Linked DNA regions of Caenorhabditis elegans. The protein of the gene in region 1 purifies or fractionates together with the protein of each later gene. This does not show direct contact. Each region holds a gene or a part of one and is shown in the gene's direction. Other genes may lie near its edges.

What was found.
Region 2: the proteins of let-716 (region 1) and snrp-200 fractionate together in Caenorhabditis elegans (co-fractionation; one large-scale study listed by BioGRID). This does not show direct contact.

What each region holds. Positions count from the first base shown.
Region 1 is NC_003281.10:6,381,839-6,385,591, forward strand, and holds the start of let-716 (rRNA biogenesis protein RRP5), read left to right. Parts: upstream 1-1,713; coding exon 1,714-1,833; intron 1,834-1,877; coding exon 1,878-3,029; intron 3,030-3,072; coding exon 3,073-3,753. Other genes in the region: znf-622 (C2H2-type domain-containing protein), read left to right, coding at 47-860, 933-1,063.
Region 2 is NC_003280.10:12,735,264-12,739,016, reverse strand, and holds the start of snrp-200 (U5 small nuclear ribonucleoprotein 200 kDa helicase), read left to right. Parts: upstream 1-2,106; 5' UTR 2,107-2,141; coding exon 2,142-2,580; intron 2,581-2,629; coding exon 2,630-3,452; intron 3,453-3,570; coding exon 3,571-3,753. Other genes in the region: pisy-1 (CDP-diacylglycerol--inositol 3-phosphatidyltransferase), read left to right, coding at 691-824, 1,077-1,178, 1,254-1,513, 1,566-1,732. UniProt on the Caenorhabditis elegans protein: Catalyzes the ATP-dependent unwinding of U4/U6 RNA duplices, an essential step in the assembly of a catalytically active spliceosome. Plays a role in pre-mRNA splicing.

The sequences.
Region 1 (3,753 bases):
AGTTTTCTAATGTTCGCTTAATACTTACTCATTATCAATTTTTCAGCCAGTCGTTGCTGCTTCAGTTGAACCATTGTACTGCAAGGCTTGTCGGAAATCAATCAAATCGGAGAATGCAATGACTGATCACGTAGCTAGCAAAAAGCACAAGGAAAATGAGAAGAAGATTGAGGATGATGTGAAGAAAGGTCCAAAGCAACCAAGAAAGAAGCCAGAGAATTTGCCAAAGAAACCTGAGTCACTAAAGGAACCTGAAAATGATGAAGATGATGACTCGAGTGGATGGGAAACTGACGATGAGGAGGAAGGTGTGGAGGAACTAAATGAGGATGATGCTCTTCCAGTCACATCTTGTCTGTTTTGTCCACAGACAAAGCCTAATATGGATGAAATGCGTACTCATATGAACTTCCATCATGGATTCCAACTTCCAGACAGGCAATACTTGAGCGATGAACTTGGATGCTTAAGCTACTTGGGACTTAAAGTTGGAGCTGGTCGTTGCTGTATCTTCTGCCCAGACGTTAAAGCCAGATACGAATCAGTTCAGAGTTGTCAGCAGCACATGCGAGATAAGCAGCACTGCAAACTCCGCAGAGATCCTGAAAGCATGATTGAGCTCGACGACTACTATGATTACAGTCCGATGTATGATGGAGATGATCAAGATAAGTCAGAACTGTTTGATGATGGATGGTCGCTTACTCTCCCTTCTGGAGCTAAAATTGGACACCGTAACCTTCATCGATATTTCAAACAATACCTTCGCCCAGTTGATGGTACACAGAGACTTGTTTCAAGAGCAGCACTCGATAAAGCAAAGGGATTCTATCCAGCTCTCGCTTGGACTGGAACTACGAGTAAGTTTTATTAGAATTCTATGACATCAAATAGTAGAAATAAAAAGAAATGTAACAAAAATAATATTTCAGCTGTCGCGGCCAAGAAGGTTGCTCGAGACATGAAGTTCGTTGAGCGTTTCCGTCGTCGTTTCGATCTGCGTGTGGCAGTCAAGTCGAACAAGTTGTTCAAGACAAACGGATTCGTCGGAGACAATCATTGACCACTTCATTCCAATTTTTCTGTTCCTGTTTGCTAACCTTGTTGTTTTTGCCGTTACCCCCGTTATGTTGACATTTTTCAATGAATATCCATCTGAAATAATTCGCTTCGATATACCAAAGAGGGATTTGGTAATGATCTGGTTTTCAAATTCAACACAATTCTAATTAGATCAAGTGTTTTGACCAAAATTTTCTTCAAAGGGAGGACCAAGTTATTACGAGCGCAGGTCTCACAACGAACACATTTACTACGGTAATCTTCAACTTTATTCATCATACAACGAAATCTTCCCTATTTAGAATTTAGCTTTTTCTTGGCGTATTCTGAACATTTTTTGCTAAATACGTCGCTTTTGTTAAGCAATTAAAAAATAGAACTATACATTTTCGCTCTCGCCTTCTAAATATTTATTTTTCGAAAACATTTCTTCTTCTTTTGATTGGCTACGGTATGCGAGTCCGCAATAGTCCGTCGCGGTGATTGCACACTTTTATCTTCCGAGAATTTTTTTACAATTTTATTTTCCATTTTCTCATTAATTTTTCCCCGAAAAAAAAAAAGAAAATGCCATGTTTTTGTTTTCAAAAAATTGTCGATATTTTATTTACTCGTAATATCTCTTCCGGGGTGATGAATATTTTGTTTCAGATGGTTAAACTAGATGAGGTAACAAACGAAAAGTGCTTCCCGCGTGGTGGTGGTTCGGACAAGCCAAAACCATTGAACAAATCCAACTCGGACTTTGTAGGAACGAAAGGAGGGCTAAAGGTTTGTTATTATCTCTCTTTTCATTCTAAGTATTCAAGTTTTAGAGAAAGTCCGCAGCCCCAGAACAACACGAGGCCAAGAAAGCTAAAGAAGAATCTAGCTGGATTCCGAAGGTTGAGGAGAACTGCTTCATTGAAGGACTCACAGGTTTTGGGGTAGTTTCTGAGGTTTTCGATGATGGAGTTCTTCTGCATACCGCTGGTACACATACCGTCAAGATTCATGCTTCAGAAGTCTCGAAGAAGTTTACGGAACTTTTCAACGAGGAAAAAATTGAGATTAAGAATGCATTTCAACTCGGCCAGATGGTTCCATTTCGTGTGATTAGTAAGAAGCAAGGTAACGACAAAGGGAAGGTGAAAGGAACTTGCAACCCAGCTCGGCTCAACAAACATCTCTCTCCAAATATGTTGGCTGCCGGTCTCGTTCTTCATACCGCCGTCGTCAGTATTGAGGAGAAGGGTGCTATTCTGGATGTTGGACTTGATCAAATAACAGGATTCATCGAGAAATCGCAATTTCCAGCAGCAGGATTGAAAGAAGGAATGCCACTTATTGTTCGAGTTCTATCTTCCACGTCAAGAGTAGTAAAAGTAACTTCCTTTGTGGAGCAGGACAATTTGAATATGACGTCTTGTGAGAAGCTCCAACTGAACCATTTGATGCCTGGAACAATTCTCGAATGTGAGCCAACAGGAGACGCAGTTACTGCTGGAGTCATTGTAAACATTGGAAATGGCCTGAAAGGAATTCTCCCTCGCCGAAATTTGCCTCCGCGCCTTCGTGAGAATCCGGAGAAGCTCGGGAAAGCCATTAGAGCAATTGTGATGTTCTGTCAACAAAATTCAAAAATCCTTGTACTCAATGCACACCCAGATATTGTTGCTGCCAGTCGTATCGAAAAAAGAACATCGTTTGAAGGAATTTCAATTGGAGACAAAGTCAAGTGCACTGTAATTGATGTACTCCCAACCAAAAGTATGGTGTACTTTGCTCTCCCTGCTATCGATGGAAAAAAGTCATTGGTCACTGCGGTGTCATCTCGAGGACTTTTGGAAAAACCAGATCAAGTTTCTACTGAGTATGAAGTTGGAACGGAAAAGCTGTGTCGAGTCACAGGATTTCGATATGCAGACCGATCGATCACCATTTCAACGAGAAAAGATATTTTGAATCAAAAAATTACAAAATATCAGGTAATTAAAAGTAAAATTAAATATTCCATTTTTATATTTTCAGGATGCAAAGTGTGGAGATGTACTTGATGCTCGTGTTCATCACGTGGCAAAAAGTGGAGTTTACTTCATGGTGTGTAATTTTGTAAAAGCATTTGCTCCTTTGAGCATGCTTTCGGATAAGCCACTTCCTGCGCAAAAAATGAAGAACATCTATAAAGTTGGAACTGAAGTAAAATGTCGTGTATGGCAGATTTGCGACGAGAGAAAAAATTTAATCGTCACATGTCGAGAGTCTATTCTTGGATTGAAAAGTCCGTCCGTCAACAGTGTTCAAGAGTTGGAGATTGGAGTTACTGTTCCATGCGTTATCAGAAAGGTTTTCCCAACGGGAGTTCTTCTTCTCGGAACATTCAATAACATTTGTGGAGTTCTTAGAAAGGAATCCGCCGTTCATTTGCCAGGAACACCGAAGAACAACGATTTTGTAGTTGCTAATGTGGAGAAGATCGAGGACAACCGAGTTGTATTTGTGCTTCGTGACGTTAACCCGAGTGCTGCTGTTGCAAATGGACAAAATTCCGAGAAGAAACTGGTTCAGAGACCGAACCCAGCTGATGGAGGTATATCAATTGGAAAGATCTACAAAGGATCATTGTGTGCCAAGGCAGGAGAGAAAGCAAATGTCACTTTCACCGGTGAAGGAAAGAAAGAAGTTTATGCTTCTGTAGATGATCATCTTCTA
Region 2 (3,753 bases), on another chromosome or scaffold:
CCACTGCCGATATCCCGTTGCGCACGAGTGTTTGCCTCTCGTGTACTTCTCTCGGACAATTGGCGGGACTTTCGAAATTCATTTTTTGAGGTTTTTCTATTGGATTTTTAGTGTTTTCCGGCAGTTTGTTGAATAATTTAGCTCAAAAATGTTCTAAATTGTGAGATTTATTCGTTTTTAAAGTATAAATTGTGTGACAAGGACCATTGCATCGCTGGGAAGAGCAATAGTTAACTATTTCGCTGGAATTCTAGTAATCGGACGATTCTGTGGACTTATTGAGAGGTTTTTGATATTTTCTTATTGAAGCGTGTTCCTATGCTGAATATTTAGCTGATTTTGCTGCAAAAACAAGTTTTTCGGCCATATGCAAACTGATTCTCGAAAAAAAATCCCAGTTCTCTTAATTTTTCCCATTAATTCTCCTCATTTACGCTTCCAACTCCTACATTTTTGCCTTAAAAGCTTTCCATCTTATTAGCTAGCCAAATGAAGCGAGAATAAACAATTTCTAGCTCTTCTCTCATCTCCAACCATCTGCGTCTCCGCTCTCTTCCCATTTTCGAAAATGTCTTGCTTTGGAGCAGATGGACCGTTGTCAAGGCATTTTTTATCGCTTTTTTTCGTTTTCCCGTGTTTTCAATCGATTTCTCGTTCTCATTTATTCAAAAACAATATTTTCAGCTTAAAATGGAACCGACAGCCGCCGAGAACAACAACAATGTGTGGCTATTCTACCCGAATCTCATCGGTTATGGACGCATAGTACTCGCCATTTTGGCCATGTACTACATGTCGTCAGCGCCATGGTGTGCAATGTTCTGGTGAGTTTTGGCGAGCTGGAAATCGATTTTTGCATCAAAAATTAGCTAATATCCATGTTTACTACTACTTTTCATCTCTTTTTCACTGAAATGTCGAGTATTTTTGCGATGCATGGTAAAGAAATCAAGGTGACCAGGTTTCTTTTCAATTTTCCCCCATAATTGAAGAGTTACAATGCCATCTGACAAGGTTTTTCAGAAGAAAAGTCCTGAAAATTAGATTTTCGTAATTAAAATTTCTCATAATTTCAGCTATGCACTCAGCGCCGGACTCGACGCGTTTGACGGATGGGCGGCACGGACCTACAATCAATCGAGCCGATTTGGAGCAATGCTCGATCAGCTCACCGATCGGTACGTTAAAATTTCTCAAATATGCTGGAAAATTCGAGAAAAAAATTGGATTCGGTAAAATTCTCATATTTTCAGCTGCGCCCTGCTGGCCTTGGTGATGGCGCTCTGCAAGTTCTACCCGGATCACTTGTTCCTGCTTCAACTGTCGGCCGTAATCGACATCGCATCTCACTGGCTTCACCTTCACGCCACTGATCTCTCCGGTGCCACGAGCCACAAGCAGTCTTCGAATTGGCTTCTGAACCTCTACTACACGGATCGATTGTTCCTCGGATTCATGTGCGGCGGAAATGAGGCTTTCTACATTTTGCTCTACATTCGCGCGTTCTGGGCTGGTAAATATTTGATTTATTTTTGCTATAATTTATTAATTCCTCTAATTTTCAGGACCACTGATCTTCAACTTCCACTTCATGTCGATCTTCCCACTCATCGCCTTCCCGATTGCCTTCGTCAAGTCCGCCATCTCCGTCGTCCATCTGTACACTGCCGCCGAGATGGTCGTTGCTCACGATGTGAAGCTCCGTGTTGAGGCTGCTCAGAAGGCCCAATGATCTCCGGATCTCCCCGAAGTCTCCAAGATTCTCCTCTGATTCCCCATGAGCTTTTGTATACACATTCCCCACTACTTAATTCACGAGCTTTACGCTTAGCTTTAGTCCTTTAGTGCTCTCGTCTCAGGAAAATGTTTCCGATTTCCATTTAATTCCAAATTTGAACATATTTCTCTGTAATTTTTTTCCCCGTAATTTTTTTTTTCGCAAATTCCCGATGTACTTACTCTGTAAAATAATATTTATTTTGTTTATTTTATTTTCCATTTATTATTCAATTCGAATTGGTTTTCAGCCAGCCGATTTTATCTATTTTCTCTCAATTTTTATTTCTTGTTTTGATTTTTTTAACCTTAATCCCACGATTTTTGCAGGATATTCGACTATCCCGAGTTGACTACAAACTACAATGGCCGACGAGCTAGCCCGAATCCAGCAGTATGAGTACCGGCAGAACTCCAACTTGGTTCTGTCGGTCGACTACAATCTGACGGATCGGCGTGGCAGAGAGGAGCCGACTGGCGAGGTGCTGCCGATCACGGATAAGGAGATGCGCAAAATGAAGATGGGTGACCGGGCGATCAAGGGAAAAGCGCCGGTGCAGGATCAGAAGAAGAAGAGAAAGAAGAAGGACGACGAGAAAGCACAACAGTTCGGCCGGAATGTCCTTGTCGACAATAATGAGCTCATGGGAGCCTACAAGCCCAGAACCCAGGAGACGAAGCAGACTTATGAAGTGATTTTGTCTTTCATTTTGGACGCACTTGGCGATGTTCCACGCGAGGTTCTGTGCGGAGCCGCTGACGAGGTGCTTCTCACGCTGAAAAACGACAAATTCCGAGATAAAGGTGAGGTGAAAATCGAAGATTTTCAATAAAATTTATATTTTTTTTTCAGAGAAGAAGAAAGAAGTGGAAGCTCTTCTGGGACCGCTCACCGACGATCGTATCGCAGTTCTCATCAACTTATCGAAGAAGATCAGCGATTTTTCGATCGAAGAGGAGAATAAGCCTGAAGGCGATGGAGACATCTACGAGAATGAGGGTGTAAATGTGCAGTTCGACTCGGATGAGGAAGAAGATGACGGTGGGATGGTTAATGAGATCAAAGGTGATAGTGAGGAGGAGAGTGAAGAGGAAGAAGGTGTGGATACAGATTACACGGCAACACTCAAAGGAGATGGTCATTTGACGGAAGATGAGCAAAAAGCACGAGGAATTCTTCATCCACGTGACATCGACGCTCATTGGATCCAAAGATCGCTCGCCAAGTACTTCAAAGATCCTCTGATCGCCCAACAGAAGCAAACGGAAGTCATCGGAATTCTCAAGAACGCCGCCGACGATCGTGACGCCGAGAATCAGCTTGTCCTGCTGTTAGGCTTCGATCAGTTCGAGTTCATCAAGTGCCTTCGCCAGAATCGTCTTATGATCCTCTACTGTACACTTTTGCGTCAGGCGAACGAGAAGGAGCGTCTCCAAATCGAAGATGATATGCGATCTCGTCCAGAGCTTCATCCGATTCTTGCACTTCTTCAGGAGACTGATGAGGGATCTGTTGTGCAGGTGGAAAAGTCGAAACGAGACGCGGAGAAGTCGAAGAAGGCCGCCACAGCAGCAAATGAAGCCATCAGTGCGGGACAGTGGCAGGCGGGCCGCAAGATGTTGGATCTAAACGATCTCACGTTCAGTCAAGGATCTCATTTGATGAGCAATAAAAGGTAAATACAATTTTATTTTAAAAGTACGATTTTCCATTAGAAAATTAAGGAAATTTGATTCATTATGCACTTTAAAAGTCCACATTCCCAAAAAACCCTAAAATTCTCAATTTTGCAGATGCGAGCTCCCCGACGGATCCTACCGCCGCCAGAAAAAGTCCTACGAAGAAATCCACGTACCAGCCCTCAAACCACGACCATTTGCTGAAGGAGAGAAGCTCGTCAGTGTCTCAGAGCTCCCGAAATGGGCCCAACCGGCTTTCGACGGCTACAAGTCGCTGAACAGGATCCAATCCCGACT